3 linked regions of the Schizosaccharomyces pombe genome follow. The gene in region 1 interacts genetically with each later gene. Each region holds a gene or a part of one and is shown on either strand. Other genes may lie near its edges. The genes, in order: mug28, SPOM_SPCC297.05 and zrg17.

The links.
Region 2: mutations in mug28 (region 1) and SPOM_SPCC297.05 together harm fitness more than expected from each alone (negative genetic interaction), as found in Schizosaccharomyces pombe (one large-scale study listed by BioGRID).
Region 3: mutations in mug28 (region 1) and zrg17 together harm fitness more than expected from each alone (negative genetic interaction), as found in Schizosaccharomyces pombe (one large-scale study listed by BioGRID).

The regions. Positions count from the first base shown.
Region 1 is NC_003424.3:1,649,032-1,653,581, reverse strand, and holds mug28 (RNA-binding protein Mug28, implicated in mRNA processing), read right to left. Parts: upstream 2,571-4,550; coding exon 2,441-2,570; exon of another isoform or gene 2,398-2,440; coding exon 2,241-2,397; exon of another isoform or gene 2,194-2,240; coding exon 1,506-2,193; exon of another isoform or gene 1,456-1,505; coding exon 601-1,455; downstream 1-600. Other genes in the region: mrp17 (mitochondrial 37S ribosomal protein bS6m), read left to right, coding at 1-226, 276-294; pls1 (phospholipid scramblase), read left to right, coding at 2,825-3,970; vma1 (V-type ATPase V1 domain-containing subunit A), read right to left, coding at 4,367-4,550. UniProt on the Schizosaccharomyces pombe protein: Has a role in sporulation.
Region 2 is NC_003421.2:1,880,558-1,886,481, reverse strand, and holds SPOM_SPCC297.05 (diacylglycerol-binding protein), read right to left. Parts: upstream 4,004-5,924; 5' UTR 3,715-4,003; coding exon 793-3,714; 3' UTR 633-792; downstream 1-632. Other genes in the region: SPOM_SPCC297.06C (uncharacterized protein), read left to right, coding at 1-520; histone lysine methyltransferase Set7, read left to right, coding at 4,410-4,442, 4,756-5,166; calcium/calmodulin-dependent (CaMKK) protein kinase Ssp1, read right to left, coding at 5,810-5,924.
Region 3 is NC_003423.3:1,944,322-1,948,345, reverse strand, and holds zrg17 (Golgi zinc importer, CDF family, Zrg17), read left to right. Parts: upstream 1-1,939; 5' UTR 1,940-2,023; coding exon 2,024-3,184; 3' UTR 3,185-3,409; downstream 3,410-4,024. Other genes in the region: SPOM_SPBC16E9.15 (uncharacterized protein), read right to left, coding at 971-1,068, 1,133-1,175, 1,225-1,248, 1,306-1,368; serine/threonine protein kinase Ksp1, read right to left, coding at 3,695-4,024. UniProt on the Schizosaccharomyces pombe protein: Probable transporter involved in the regulation of zinc homeostasis.

The sequences.
Region 1 (4,550 bases):
ATTGTGGTCGAGCAATCCTGGATAACAAAGGTGTGGTCGTTGATGTTGAGTCCATGGGACTTAAGGAACTGGCTAAACCTATAAAAAAACTAAATCAATCTTACTCTTTTGGTCACTGGTGGTCTATGACCTTTTACAGTAACCCCACAGTTCAATCTGAGATACAGAGGATTCTGAGACTTGAACCTTCGGTTCTTCGCTATATGATCGTCAAAAAAGCAGATAAGTATGTTCTTTTTATAAACTATTTTATTATACTAATTCCTTTTGTGTAGATTGAGTGATTTAATGTAGAATGAGCGTATTCATATTTTGAGAAAATAAAAATATTCGCAGAGCTGTCCAATTATCTTTTATTATTCTTGTTTTTTTGGGGTTTTTTCTTCTTTTCTTCTTTTATAAAATAAACATACTTTTCCAGAGCTAAAATGTGAAATTTCAACCGTTGTTAACGACTCCTTGTGTTTCAACTTTTTCCGATCTTCTTTGTATAATACTATGTCCCTAAATTTCATGGGAGATAGATTAAAAAAAAGAACTGTTAAAATATTTAAACGACAGGTACTGATATTATGTCCTTTAGACATATCTTGCTTTTATTTATTGGTTTAATACAATGTTGGTTAAAGGCGATAGTGAAGTTTTGAATGTGGAGTGTTTTATGCCGAATTTATGGCTTGGGTTTAGGTTTTCGTTTGAAATCACCGCTTCACGTAGCTTAGCGGCACATGAATCTAAACGAGTTGGTAATGTTTGTCTAGGATCGCTATACCCGTGCTGCTGTATAGATTGTATTAGAGGTTGAGGCCATTCCTGATGATACTCTAAAATTTGTGGTTCAGTAGCCATTGGAATTGTTAGAGAGGGCGATGGAACAACTGGAGGGTAAGATTGGCTAAATATAGCACTCAGTCGCTTTTTGCGATCTTCTCTCTTTTCTGCATAATTCACGAATAATCTTTTCTTTCCGAATAACACTCCATTTAACGTGTTAATTGCTTGCACAGCTTCAAATGGATGACTGAAGGATACGAAACCATAGCCTTTGGATATTTCTGTACTGGGATACGACGCTAAAGTGCAAGATTTTATCCTTCCAAATTTCGAAAACAGTTCTTCTAATTGTTGTGTGTTTCCTACTATATTATCATCCAAGTTTTTAACAAATAAATTACAAGGATCAATTGTCGGTGTTGAGGTTGGTGTTGGCGTTACTGTCGTTTCATACGATGTTTGGAAAGAAGGGAATGAAATAAATGGATTTGGCAAAGCAGAAGTTTTGGCAATCACTGGAATTTCAAACGGCTGAGGCATTTCCATATTTGGGGGCAATAAATTTGTCATGGTTCCTTCTGGGTGATTTAACAAATTAGAGCAAAATCCCTGAACAGGTTGTTTTATAAAAAGTTGTAAAATGGATCCTTCATACGCAATGGCGTGAAATTTTTCAATGATCTAAATTAAAAGGTCAGTAATGCTATAGCAAAAAATAGCTTGCTTAATACCTCTATGCAACTTTCATAGGTGCTCACAGCCACTTCTGCGTAGTGAGTCATATCTTCATTTATGCTTTGATTGATGGCTACACCGAGAATGTGACCATGATTGCTAAACTCATTGTAAAGCTCGACTGGTGATACTTTCAACGGAAGGTTTAAAATCCCAATCACAAAAATAGAAGGGTTGTCGTACAAAAATTGGGGATTCTGTTCTAGAAGCATACCTGGCATCATTTGACAGGGTTCAAAAGCAGATTTTAGGTGTAAATGTTCCGTGTTATTTTCCTTATATGGCTCAATAAAAGTGTTAGAAATGGACGGTGTATTATTATCTTTGCAATTTGGCCTGATAGACAGATGCTTTGGCTCATTCTCCGTGAAATCTGAAACTAAGAGTGTTTGAACTGCTTTTGAGCTAAGTATACTAGTTCCTGTTGCTTCTGCAAATGCATTCTCTTTGTCGTGCACTTTTGGGGGGTTTGATTGAACTAAATTTGAGGTATTCATCGAATATTCCTTTTTGTCTTTGGTACTAACTCGAACCTCTGATACTGTCGGTCGTGTTTCCTTTGTATACTTTTCTATTTTTGAAAACCGAATTTTTGCTTTTTCATTATTCGAGTGATGAATTTGGTCAACTCCATTTTCCAACTTATTTTTGTATCTCTCCACGATATGCGTATACTCGACCTTCCTATAATTGTTGCTCTATTAGCGTTTATTATTTTAAAATCTACGTACAAAGTATTTCCTTGGAACGAACTCCCGTTTAAGGAGGCAATTGCGTTGTCAGCGCTACATTTGTTTTCAAATGTGATAAATGCAAATAAAGTTGGGGATTTAGAGTCAGTACTCTTATTCTTCTTTCTACTTAGCATGTGGAATTTTGAGAAATTACCTTAAACAGTTAGAGAAAAAATTGTTTATTCATATACGATTACCGAAAGGTTCAAACAGTTCATGAAGATCTGAGCTTTGGCACGTTGAAGGTAAATTCCCTACGTAAATGGAAATTTCACACTTCTTAGTGCTCCTTTTGTTCTTTTCTGAAAGTTTTTCAAGTGCAATCATTGTGATGTGTCTAGTTGGTAATTATAGAATTCGGAATTCTCAATGTAAACAAAAGTAAACAGGAAATTACCGCAATGTTAGCTGTTCATAAGCAATTTAATGTAGTATCCTATATTTCGTAAAGCTTTAAGGTAATCGCATAGTATGTGCTATTTTAAATTGTGAAACTTACTACACAGCCTTTATTACATATTTGTCTCAGCAACCCTCTGTGGTATAGGTGAACCACAAACTAATTTTAATTTCTCAAACCTATGCTTGAAATTCTATGGGCTAACATTACTCCAATTCAAACCTTTGTCTCCAGTAATCATTTAACTATGCTTTATGGGCTCAAACGGTTTGGATGTCGCCTTTATCATCATAGCAAATCTACACGATACATTGACGCTACAGCGAAAGTAGTCTCTCAAGAGCCTGCTGCCATTAGCAGTACTGGAGCTATTCCATTAAATTCTCCAGCGGCCCCTTTATTATCACAAGATGTTCTTATAGTAGAGAGGCAACTTGAAATGATGAATGTTTTTCTTGGTTATGAACAGGCTAACCGCTATGTAATTCTTAACCAACAAGGTCAGCATCTTGGATACATTGCAGAACAGGGTGCCTCATCCATATTATCAAGTTTATCAAGACAATTTTTCCACACACATCGTGCGTTTAAGGCAGATGTAATGGACAGTAACGGCCAGTTGGTGTTACAACTCAATCGACCATTTTCTTGGATAAACTCCCGGTTACAAATTCATTCTATTGATTACAGTAAGTTCTCGTCTACTTTAGTTGGCGAAGTCCTTCAAAAATGGCATTTATGGCGCCGTCGCTATGAATTGTTCCTTGCGAAGCGTTCTATGTTTGAACAGTTTGCCAAAATTGATGAGCGAGTGCTAAGTTGGGAGTTTCTGTTGCGAAACGAGCAGGATCGCATCCTAGGTAGTGTTTCACGGAATTTCATGGGGCTTCCTCGTGAATTTTTTACTGATACTGGTAATTACGTTCTTCGATTTACCTCTACGAGTGCAGCCAATGGTTCTGTAAATGAAAATCAATTGCTTCAAGCTGCTCATGGAATCGCTAATGATGTTTGTGCACGTGATATGAGTTTAGAAGAAAGGGCAGTTATGCTAGGCAGTGCTGTCACTATTGATTTTGATTATTTTAGCCGTATTCATGGTGGCCCAGCACTGGGACTGAATATTCCGTTTATGTTTGGAGGTTCTTCCTCCAACCACGATTATCCAGCTGAAGACCTGTCTGCTCAGGAAATTTTAAAAAACGACCAGGAAACTACGCCTTCCACCAATGATTCTTCATCTGAAACGAAGTCTCCTTTTTTGTCTGATGCAGACTTGGATCAGCAAGATTTTTGGGATATTTTTGACCGTGACGGGGATGATTGATTGTTCAACTGATTATTATTTATTTATTAACGATATATCCAAAAAGATACTTTTTCTCCTTAAAAAGTTAAATCTGATTAGTCATTACTATTACTGTTTTTATTATTATTATTATTATTACTATCCCTTCTAGTCATTATTTTGTTTTTCTCATAATTTACAACTACTGACTATATCACTGAATTTATTTCTTCAAAAGAGTTTGTTGAAGACGGCTTGTATTTGTGTAAATATATTATTTCGAGAAGCGGTTGATTCGCGATTTAATGTGCAAAATTACTTAGGACATATATTTGGATAACGTGAAAGCAATGTTTACTGGAAGTCTGTATTATCAAGCTAGTAGTCTATAGCCAGCAAAAACTAGAATTAAAAACTTAGTTGTTCAAAAAATAATTACTCAGTCAGAGTGTGAAACTTGTCCTCAATCTTCTTGTGCAGAGTTTCATAGTGTTCGACTATTTCCTTCTCGCCTTCATTAGGGTTTTCGAATTTCATCGAGGTTAACTCATAAAAGATATCTGAAGTACTTTCTTTAATCTTTGACCAAGGAACGCTACCAGTTTCAACGGCACTTTTA
Region 2 (5,924 bases), on another chromosome or scaffold:
TAAATGGTATTCGTTGGGAAAGAGAATATCTCAACCCTCTTATGCTCGTCTTGTAGGTCCAAGTCGACCAACTTTGGAAAATTTACAAGATCGACGAGAATTGCAGGAGCAATTAAACGAGTTGAGAAAGCTATCCCGAAAATCAGCTTTTAAATCGCAAGCTAAAAGGGAGACAGAATTGTTGGATGAAATTCTTCCAAAAGAACCAGCAGGAAGCAAAGAAGCTATGCAACAGAAAAAGAAGGAAAAACGAGCTGCTTTGAAGCATTATCGCGAAGCATCTGACAATGAAGAAGACTTGAAAGAAACCGACTTATACGGAGACCGGGACTCATTTCAGTCCCGATTGAAGCAAAAAAAACAACGGTCAGAATTCAGGGCTTCAAAACGAGAAATGGAAAGACTTGAGCGCGACCAAGAGCTTCGAAATAAAATTGAGGAAAGAAATAAAAAAGAGTTAGAAACAATTGAAAAGCTACGAGAGTTAGCCAAGGCTAGGTTGCAAGGTTTTTCTAGTTGATCATTTTAGCAATTACGCCGACATTTATAAAACCAAAGAAGTGTGCAACTATTCATTATGATTAGAGCTTTTTAACTATGAGTCAAACATAATGAGTATTTAATTTCTCTCAACTTAAGATGTATATGACTTTATATTAAAAATTCACAAATTTAATCAAAGTATAAAAAATGAAAAGCGTTTTAGAGTTGTTCGATTAAATATTTTAACTATAACCAAAAAGAAGTCTATTGAGCATTAATAATTCGTAAATAGTGCGTCTATAACCTAACCTAGTGTAAAGCATTGTCATTCTTCAACGAAGCTGGTATAGGTGCAACCTCAATTCTTTGGATTTCCAATGACTTGTCTCGTAGAAAAGGGGTGGCCTTTCCAAAAAGCCTTGGTTTACCATGATTGCGTTCACAAAGAAGTAACTGATCAAACAGTGCCACTCGGGGATCATTTAGATCAAGCTCGCATCGATCGCCAATGAATTCTGCAAATGCCTGTGAGCTACAAAGTGATGAAATCCAACTCCCGTGAACTTTGGAAGCTTGCCGAGTAAATTTATTGAAGTCGAATGATCCTATAAGACCACCACTTCCTTTAGAAATACCAAAATTTTCACGAGACATATGAGGTTTGCGTAAATAATTCCGATATGACCCTAAGATTTTTATAAAGAATTTTAAAAATGTCACTAATATCTGCTGACTATTAAAACATGCTGGAACACATGGCATTGATATATGTTTTATGAAATCCAGATTAACACGTAGCCCACAATTATCGCATTGAACATGGACGTCACCCAATGCATATCCTGAGACAGCGCAAATGGAGCCAGCGCTATCCGCGGGAAACATTTTATAGATGCGTCTCAGCTTATGCCCCTCTTTGTACATAATGTGAACTTTTTGTTCTCCTGGCTTAGAACTCACAAGGTTCACAGCAGATCCGGTGTTAATAGAACCAGCTTTATTTTGATTAGATTCAGAAGAACGAAGTTCAGGGACCGAATAAGGTGATGTGAGGGAATTTCTTCTTATCGTCGATTGGAAAGAAGAAGAAGAAAACCGAAACTTTGAAGAAGATGGAGAAGCAGGTCTCGTAAAAGGGGGAGAAGAAAAGTTGCGAGCATGCTCAGGCGCCTGTAAACGCGCATATAAAAGTTTTGAAGCTGATGACTGGCGCGAGTCAGTTTGCTTCGCAAAATAAATACTCGAAGGATTGTCTTGAAGCTTAAGGAAACCGTTTAAGATAGGAGAGAGTACATAAGGCCTTTTGGAAAAATTGGAGCTTCTAAAAGACAAAAGTGCTGGGATAGAAAACTTTTCTCTCAAAGGAAAACATGTAACTGTACTCAACGAAAGGACATTATTTGGATAAGTTTCCATTGTGTACTTTGGAGGGCTATGTGGTACATAAAATTTATCATGAAGTGGCGCCGCAAGCTTCAGATGGGCCTGTAACTTAGATCGCAATGAGCGAGAAAGACGAACAATTTTCCCAAACGTAGATACAGAATTTTTATCAAGGTCACAAACAACAAGCGGAATATTGTCCAGAGGAACGTCGTCCATATGAAAAAAGTACGATAGAGTGCCAATAATGTACGAACAAGGAGCTTCAAAACAAGATATCAAACGCCTGGGTAAAACAGGAATATAAAGCCCTTGCCACGTAAGAGGATAAAGCAAATGTAGTAAAGCTTGTGATGCATATCCCAGCATTCCTAAGTTTTCAGACAAAAATATAACTTTAGCTTCCATTAAAGCAGCCTCAAAAAGAACAAGAATATTAGGGATACTTAATGCACGAAATAACGGATATAAGTCAACATCATTCCAACCTGGGATTTCATTGACTGGACTCCTAAATGCGTAAAGATTTAATGGGCCGACATTAACTTGCAACTGCAGAAGTCCTTTCGGCGGCAAAGGAACATCACAGCAAATGTTTTTTACAAACGATTGAAGGTTTAGTGATTTAAGGGAATTTAAATCTGACGAAGGGATAAAATCGAGATCTTCAGCTTGAATAGAGGAGCATACTATTCGAAGCCAATCCCGACAAAAGGACTGCAAATGTGAATGCTTACTCAATAATCCATAAGCATTGGGTATCCATAAAGTCCTGTTATTTGTCAGTCCATGAACAAATCTAGGTAATTTATAGCGCATAGGACGAAGAAGTTCAGTATAAAGAATAATGTTTTCTTCACAGACATCAATCTTTTCCAAGAGTATAGGATCGATGGAATCACTCCCTTCAAGTTCCTTTTCTTGCATTTTTAATAATAATGAAGAAAGTTTTGATCGCTCCGTTTCTAAACTGGATAAAAGCTTCTCGGCAACCTCACGGTCTTCCACAGTCGTATTATTAGCTCTCCAAACTTCACATTCCTTTTCCAAGTCATTTTGCATAGATTGAGGCATTGCAACCCAAACTACCACGCAAATCCCATACAAGTGGCTGTTATTGTCACTGGTCAAAGCAAAAGAGTGGTAGGTTGATACAGGTCTAACATCCGATTCTTTTATAGTTATGTCGTTAGGAAAAGCAAACATCGGAACATAATTAGGGAAATCACAACGGTCAATAGTCGGTGTCTCATTTTTTATGTCCTTGGAAGAAGGGAATTGATGGAGGAGAGAAGGAGGATAGCGTCTCTCGAATGGATGGGTAGCAGCGAATAAGGGCAGGGCATCAGGATATGCAACATAAGACTGATACAAATCATTTTGGGTATGCGTAGTACCGATACTAACGCGGTTTTGTAAATGCTCTTTATCGATGACAGAAGGCTCGGAGTATGGCTTTCTGGAATGATACTTTCGAGGTGTTGAAGTATTAGAGGATAAGCTACGACGATGTAAGGACGTAACGGAGGCATGGTCAAATGAATCCTTTTTTTTCTTGGTCGGTGTGTTAGATGTTGAGTGATGATAATCTAAAAACGGCTTCTTTGGACCCACAGAATTGGATCCAGTGGTGTTGTGATGCGCAAAGGTATTTTCTTTATAAAAAGAAGACTCAGAAGTGATTGACACTCTTTTTAATGGCGACTTCCTTGTATTGTTTTGGATGATAGAACTAGAAACAGATATGGCGTCTTCATCAAGTCTATCTGCTCGAAATTGAGAATTGGATACACTCACAAATCCGTTAGAGAGACCTGCGAGAAAGAAATGATCTGCGATACTTTCCATTCCACTCGCAACTTAAAGCATCGTAAATGATCGCAATCGCATATGCAATAATTAAGGAAAAGATAACTTGTTTTGTAGCTTATATTATATTTTTGAAGAATAAACTTACTAAATATGCCACAAATCGATTCCACATAAATCGTGCGAAACTTTTTTCGTAAGGAATTGGGCACTTCAACGCTAACAGTATAACTATTCCTACGCACTTTCCAACCTGTTCAAATGCCAATTTAACTACAGATCGCCAATACCTCAAAAAGCATCCTCCATACACTAAATGGAAAACGGTAACTTGCGACTGTTTATGCAGCAAAATGTTCGATAGAAAAACATAGCGCACTATAACCTTTTATCTACTAAAGTGAATATAGCAACGTACCATGACCCGAAGTATCACCACAATAGGTTTAAGGAGTCTTATAGCTGCCTTATTTGGGAAAAATAAATTTTTTCCTATTAACTTACTAACTATTTTTGCCATTCGTATATGTGAAATAAGTTCCTTGTTTGGTTTATTTCTATTAGAAATTACTAATTTAATATATGAAAAAAGAAAGACATCAAACGTGAGCCCAAAGAAATCAACTCCCTGGCTCATCTATAAAGACACGAAACATCTAAAATTAAGTAATTCACAAAAGGTGTAAGAAGTGAAGCACACCGATCATTAAGACAGTTGTCAAATTGATTTTGTAATGCGGATTCCTGTTATTCGTAGTCCGCTTGAGGTAAGGTATTGTAGGATAGCTAGAAGATAGAAGAAAGTTAAAAGTCACTTTAAATTAACTTTTTTGTGTTTCGATTCATTTATATTTATTTGTGTGAATTTTGCTATGAGTTGAGTCAGACAGTAGAAAAAGCAAATGTCGAAGATTGTTGTTGTTGTATAATCGAAAGGGTAATGTTACGGATCAACGATTCACAGCATGATTCATAATCATTTATATAAAAGAAAACATTTCACATTCTTTTCTTTTCTTTAGTAAAATCAGTCGACAGACTGAACGATTGTGTCTAATTATAAGTTTACTAACGCTTTAGATTCGTGATACAGAACGAAAAGGCCGAGGAGTATTTGCTCTTGAGCCTATTCCAGCACAAACATGCATTGAGATTAGTCCTGTATTGATGTTCAGCAAAGAAGAATATGAACAACATGGACAGTATACAGTTCTTAACGAATACACATATGTTTGGAGCGAAGGCAAACAAGGATTAGCTCTAGGACTTGGAAGTATGTTCAATCACGACCGTCATCCAAACGTGTATTGGAAAAAAGACAATCGCAATAACTACATCTCATATTACACATTACGAGAGATAAAAACAAATGAGGAACTCTGTATTTCATACGGAGATCATCTGTGGTTCGAAGACGAAGCATCATCTGCTTCACGAATAAGTCCAAACGAGGAAAATGAAGATTTTCCCTTACAAAATATTAGTTTATAAAAATTCTTCATACGTCCAATTTGTAGGCTTTAGAAGATAAAATTTCTCAAATGGTAGCAATATTGCTGTCTGTCTTCTAAATCACACCATACAAAAGTTGCCCCACTTCACCTATATTCAATAGATTTGTATCACAACAGCACATAGAAGAAATTACAAACTAGGTCATAAAAAAATAATAAAATGATATTTATTTCCTATGCCAGGAATAAGAAGAATTCATCAAAAAAACCAGTTTCAACGTCTAATCAGTAAATTTTTTTTGCTCATAGGAAAAAAAATCACGATATACGAGGTAAACAAAAGGCACATTAGATAATAAAACATTTTAAAATAAACGAGTAAAACGAGTGGAATGCGCAAGAATCATCAATAAAGTCACCTTTTTTCCAAAAGACTTGGAACCTAAGCGTCTTATTTAGAAAAAGGAAAAAAAAAGGCTTCTCTTGAGATGGGGCAAACATATAGGACAAATAAAAATCTAAAAGGTCCGAATGACATGATTTGATGAAAACGAATGACAAAGTGTTATTGAACACTAGGTAAAAAGCCAAGAATAAGAAATGAGTAATTAAAAGACACATGCAACCTACATTGCAAAAAAAAAACAATTGAATAAAATTGGGAAATGTTCATACAGCACTCAATTAGTTGGTGTGAAGGAATGCTCAATGCAGTAGATAGGTGTGTCAGAGCCCCCGGCTAAATGAAGGTTAGGTGATGATACAAAACCAGGAACCACTGGATGAAAATTGGAC
Region 3 (4,024 bases), on another chromosome or scaffold:
TCCTGCCACCACTGAGACTGTTTCAAGCAAAGCAGCCCGCTCTGCCACCACTCCTGCTTATGTTGGCGGTGCCACTAAAACTCCTAGTACGACAAAGGCTGTTGAATCTACTCCCAGCACCTTGCCTACTTCAGCTTCCACAAATGCTGCTGCTACTACTACCACTAAAAAGCCCAAGGCTGCCAAATCTACTGCTGTACGTGATGATGTTTCTTCTGCTTCTTCGGATAGCGACAAGGGTACCACCGGTTTGGGCAAATCTGAAAGCAAAAGTTCCCGCAAGGAACGTAGAAGCAGCACCAGCAGCGGTCATGGCTTGATGAACAATGTTCGTCATGCCTTGGGTATGTCCAACAAGTAAAGGGAATACTTGCAATATCAAAATTTTTGGACGTAACCTTCATTATCTCGTGAATCCGTTATGAAAAAAGGTTTTTATTGTATGGTTCTTATTTGAAAAAAAGGGACGACAACTTTTTGAGGGGAAAGTTGTCATCCTTTAAAGGTTGGTTCTTTATGATGGAAAGTACTGCGAATTGTTCGTAATTTATTAATGAGATTCTTTGTTTATACGAGTAAAGAAATTGAATGCGATGGATATAGAAAATGTAATGTAGCTTTAGTTTTAAGTAGTTTGATTGTCTGTGGTGGGTTGTATATGCTTGCTTTGGCCTTGCTAGATAATCAAAACAAGAAACAATATAAAATGTACAATAGAACTAACAGGTAAAAATAAATGTACAAAAAATAAATGATTTGAATTTTCTCGTACGAACATGTAAACAATTGAAAAAGACAAACAATCGAGACTTAGAAATACAATTGAAAATAAATAGACAGAGCAAGACAAACAGAGGTTATTCTTAATAAAATAGAGCAAATCTAGCACAATCCCCAATCCACCACGTCAAACAAGCTGTATGCTCACTTCAAATAGAAAGCTTTGAAAATCTTATGCGGTGAATCTTGTTCACTCGGTCGATGTGACCGGTGAGACAGAAGACTTTTTGTTCATGGCCTCACGCATGGATTCTTCAAGTTGATCTAAACGAGTTGACATCGTTTCCACTGTTAACATAAAAAGTTATGATTAGTAAAGCAAAATCTTTCATTATAAATTAGAGAATCGTACATTTCTCAGAGAATTGCTTTTGTAGGGTCTCAAAGTCGCCAGACTATAAAAATCTGTTAGAATGATTAACTAAGCACAATTCTTCTTCTTACAATATCCTCCAATAACTTATCAGTCTAAAAGTAAACAAGGTTAGATCATTAAAAAAAAAGAAAGACTAATCTTAAACGCACCAAAGTCGTGATCGCAGATGTGGATTGAGGATTTTTAGAATTCCCTCTAACAGACGCAGACATTGTAACCGAAAACCTTTTTTTTAATATGTATAGATGCTTCCTTCAGGTAATAAGAACTCACTTGTGAATACAATAGTTGGTATTTGGAAGAGAAATGGAAGAAGTAGGTAAAATAGTTGATGGAACTCAGCTAGGAACCTCTGCGTAATGTTATTTACCTACACATAATTATTTTTATTATTTTACCAAGTGTATTTATTGTCTTATCGAGTACATGTGGAAAAGTCGTAGAAGGAGAATTCAGGCCCTTGGAGTGGCCTTTTTTTTATAACTTAATGATGATTTTATTTTTAATTAAACGAATTAAAAAAATTACTCATAATATCCTTGTATGGATGACTTTGAGCCGCATGTTTGAACCCTATATATATGGCGTTCCACGATGGCTCTGAAAGGTAAGTTTGTTCATCTTTAACCGTTTTCTACTAAGCGTTTTTTATTCCTAGTCACTAAAAAGTAGATGTCTCAAAGATGGTACAACACTATGGCTTTTTATAATCATTTACTGATACAGTCAATATCTTTATCTTAGACTGTTGCAATTTGGGCCTAGTACCAACTGGTCTTACCCATCCACTCCACCAAACGCATGGGTGAGTGAGTTTTTAAAAAAGCCATTATAGAATTGTTGAAAGTATATCTAAATGAATGAAAAATGACTCAAAATCATAACATCCCGACTGCTATTCAGATTCAAAACCCTATAAATAATAATGTCTCTGTAACTATTAGTGATCAGTTACCAAAACCGAGTGCGAATAATCCCAACTTGTTAAGCGTGGATACTCGCCCTACCCACAGAAAAGGCCATCATCACAAACATTCGCTTTCGCATCAATATTTCTTACCACCCAAGAATCGACAGCCGTTAGAGATACCTGCCAGTTATCCCATTCCTACTTTTAAAGAAACATTCGCAATCCTTACTTTTCCTCAAAAACTAAAATTGACAAGCTCAATCCTATTCTTTTTGGTCGCCGTAGGGGTATTACTCTCGGGGGATGCTACTATCCTACTCACTTTATCTTGCTCTTTAATCGTAGAAGGTGTTTTAATCATTATCAACGTTTGGCGTGAAACATTGGATTCGTTCCTCGTCTGGCGACACACGTGTTTACGTTACCCATTTGGAATGCAACAAATGGAATTACTTGTTGATTTTTCCTTCTCAATCCTCTTAATCTTCCTCGGCATGAACCTCCTAAAAGAGCCTGCCGAACATGCTATAGAAGATTGGGGTAATCTCCATCATGCTGGCGATCATGAAGAAGAGACTGTACACATTCATTTAACCATTTCATTGTTTGCTTCGGCTATAATATCGGGATTTGCATTATTGTTGGATCACCCTAGTGCTCACATACGAGAACTCAATTCTCGCTTTTTCCATGGACTCACATTAGTACCTTCACTCATCCTCGTGTTGCTGTTAAGTCTTGGTTATCAAGTTGGTTCATTTCTCAGCCATTTGCTTTCCTTAACTATTGCTGTTACTGCCCTGGTGAATGGGTTCTCCATTGCCAAATCGCTTGCCTTAATGCTCTTGTTGACATACTCTAATAAAGAAAAGGTCTTTGAATGCGTCTCCCTTATAAAAGAGGATACACGAATTGACCAACTTAATTATGCTGCCATTTGGCAACCTCATTATAATACTTGTATTGCTAATATTGGCTTAACCGTTTCAGGAGGTGAACGAGAGCAGGCAGCAGTTCGTGAAGATATTATAAGGATTATACAAAAAACAGTAGGAAGCATATTTGGTGCTGGTGTTCAACCCAAATGGGAAATATCAGTAGATATCCAGAGAGCCTAATCGTTTTTTCCTATCTTACAACCAACCGTGTTTGTAACTCACTCGTTATATTTTTATTATCATTTAATGCATGCATATTTTATCAACATATGACATTATCCACCTTTGCGGAACTTTCGCTGTCTCGAACAGTTTGGATTCATAATCTAATAAATGCCATCCATATTTACTATAGAATTACCAACACCTTTTTCATTCTTTCCTTTAATTTATACCGCTTATTACAAATTATAAGGAGAATACAAACTCAAGATTTTAATATGAAATGAATAATTTTATTATTATAAATAAGGCATGTGTGGTCGTTGCATACTAAAAGGATCAAGTCTAACTAATAATAGAATGCGTATATAGAAGGTATTTTCATATGTAAAAAAAAAAAAGAAAAACGTAAGCATATATATGACCCTCAATTAACATACAGATTCCAAAGGACAAGTAATGCAATTTACTACTTTAAACGTAGCTCTTACCAAGCTTGGAAAGAAAGCGCAAAAAACAAGTTATCGTTTATGAGTTATCATTCCACTGGGATAGAACATTCCAGTCGTCAGCAAGTCCAATGTGCTTAGACGAAAGTTCGTCAGAAGCACCAAAGTCATCGTTAGAGCCGAAGCTAACAATGTCTTCCTCATCTTCTTCATCCATATCACACCAACTGCGGCCAAATTTAAGATGATCCTTGTTTCCTTTAATACTGTTAGGAAATACGATAGCTGGTGCACTGCAAGAATAGGGAGAACGTTTCGTATTAACGGGTACTGCTGTTGCAATGGATTTTCCAATATGCATATTATTGAGACTTTCACCAAGTCCAGAATCATAGGAACGTTCGCTATT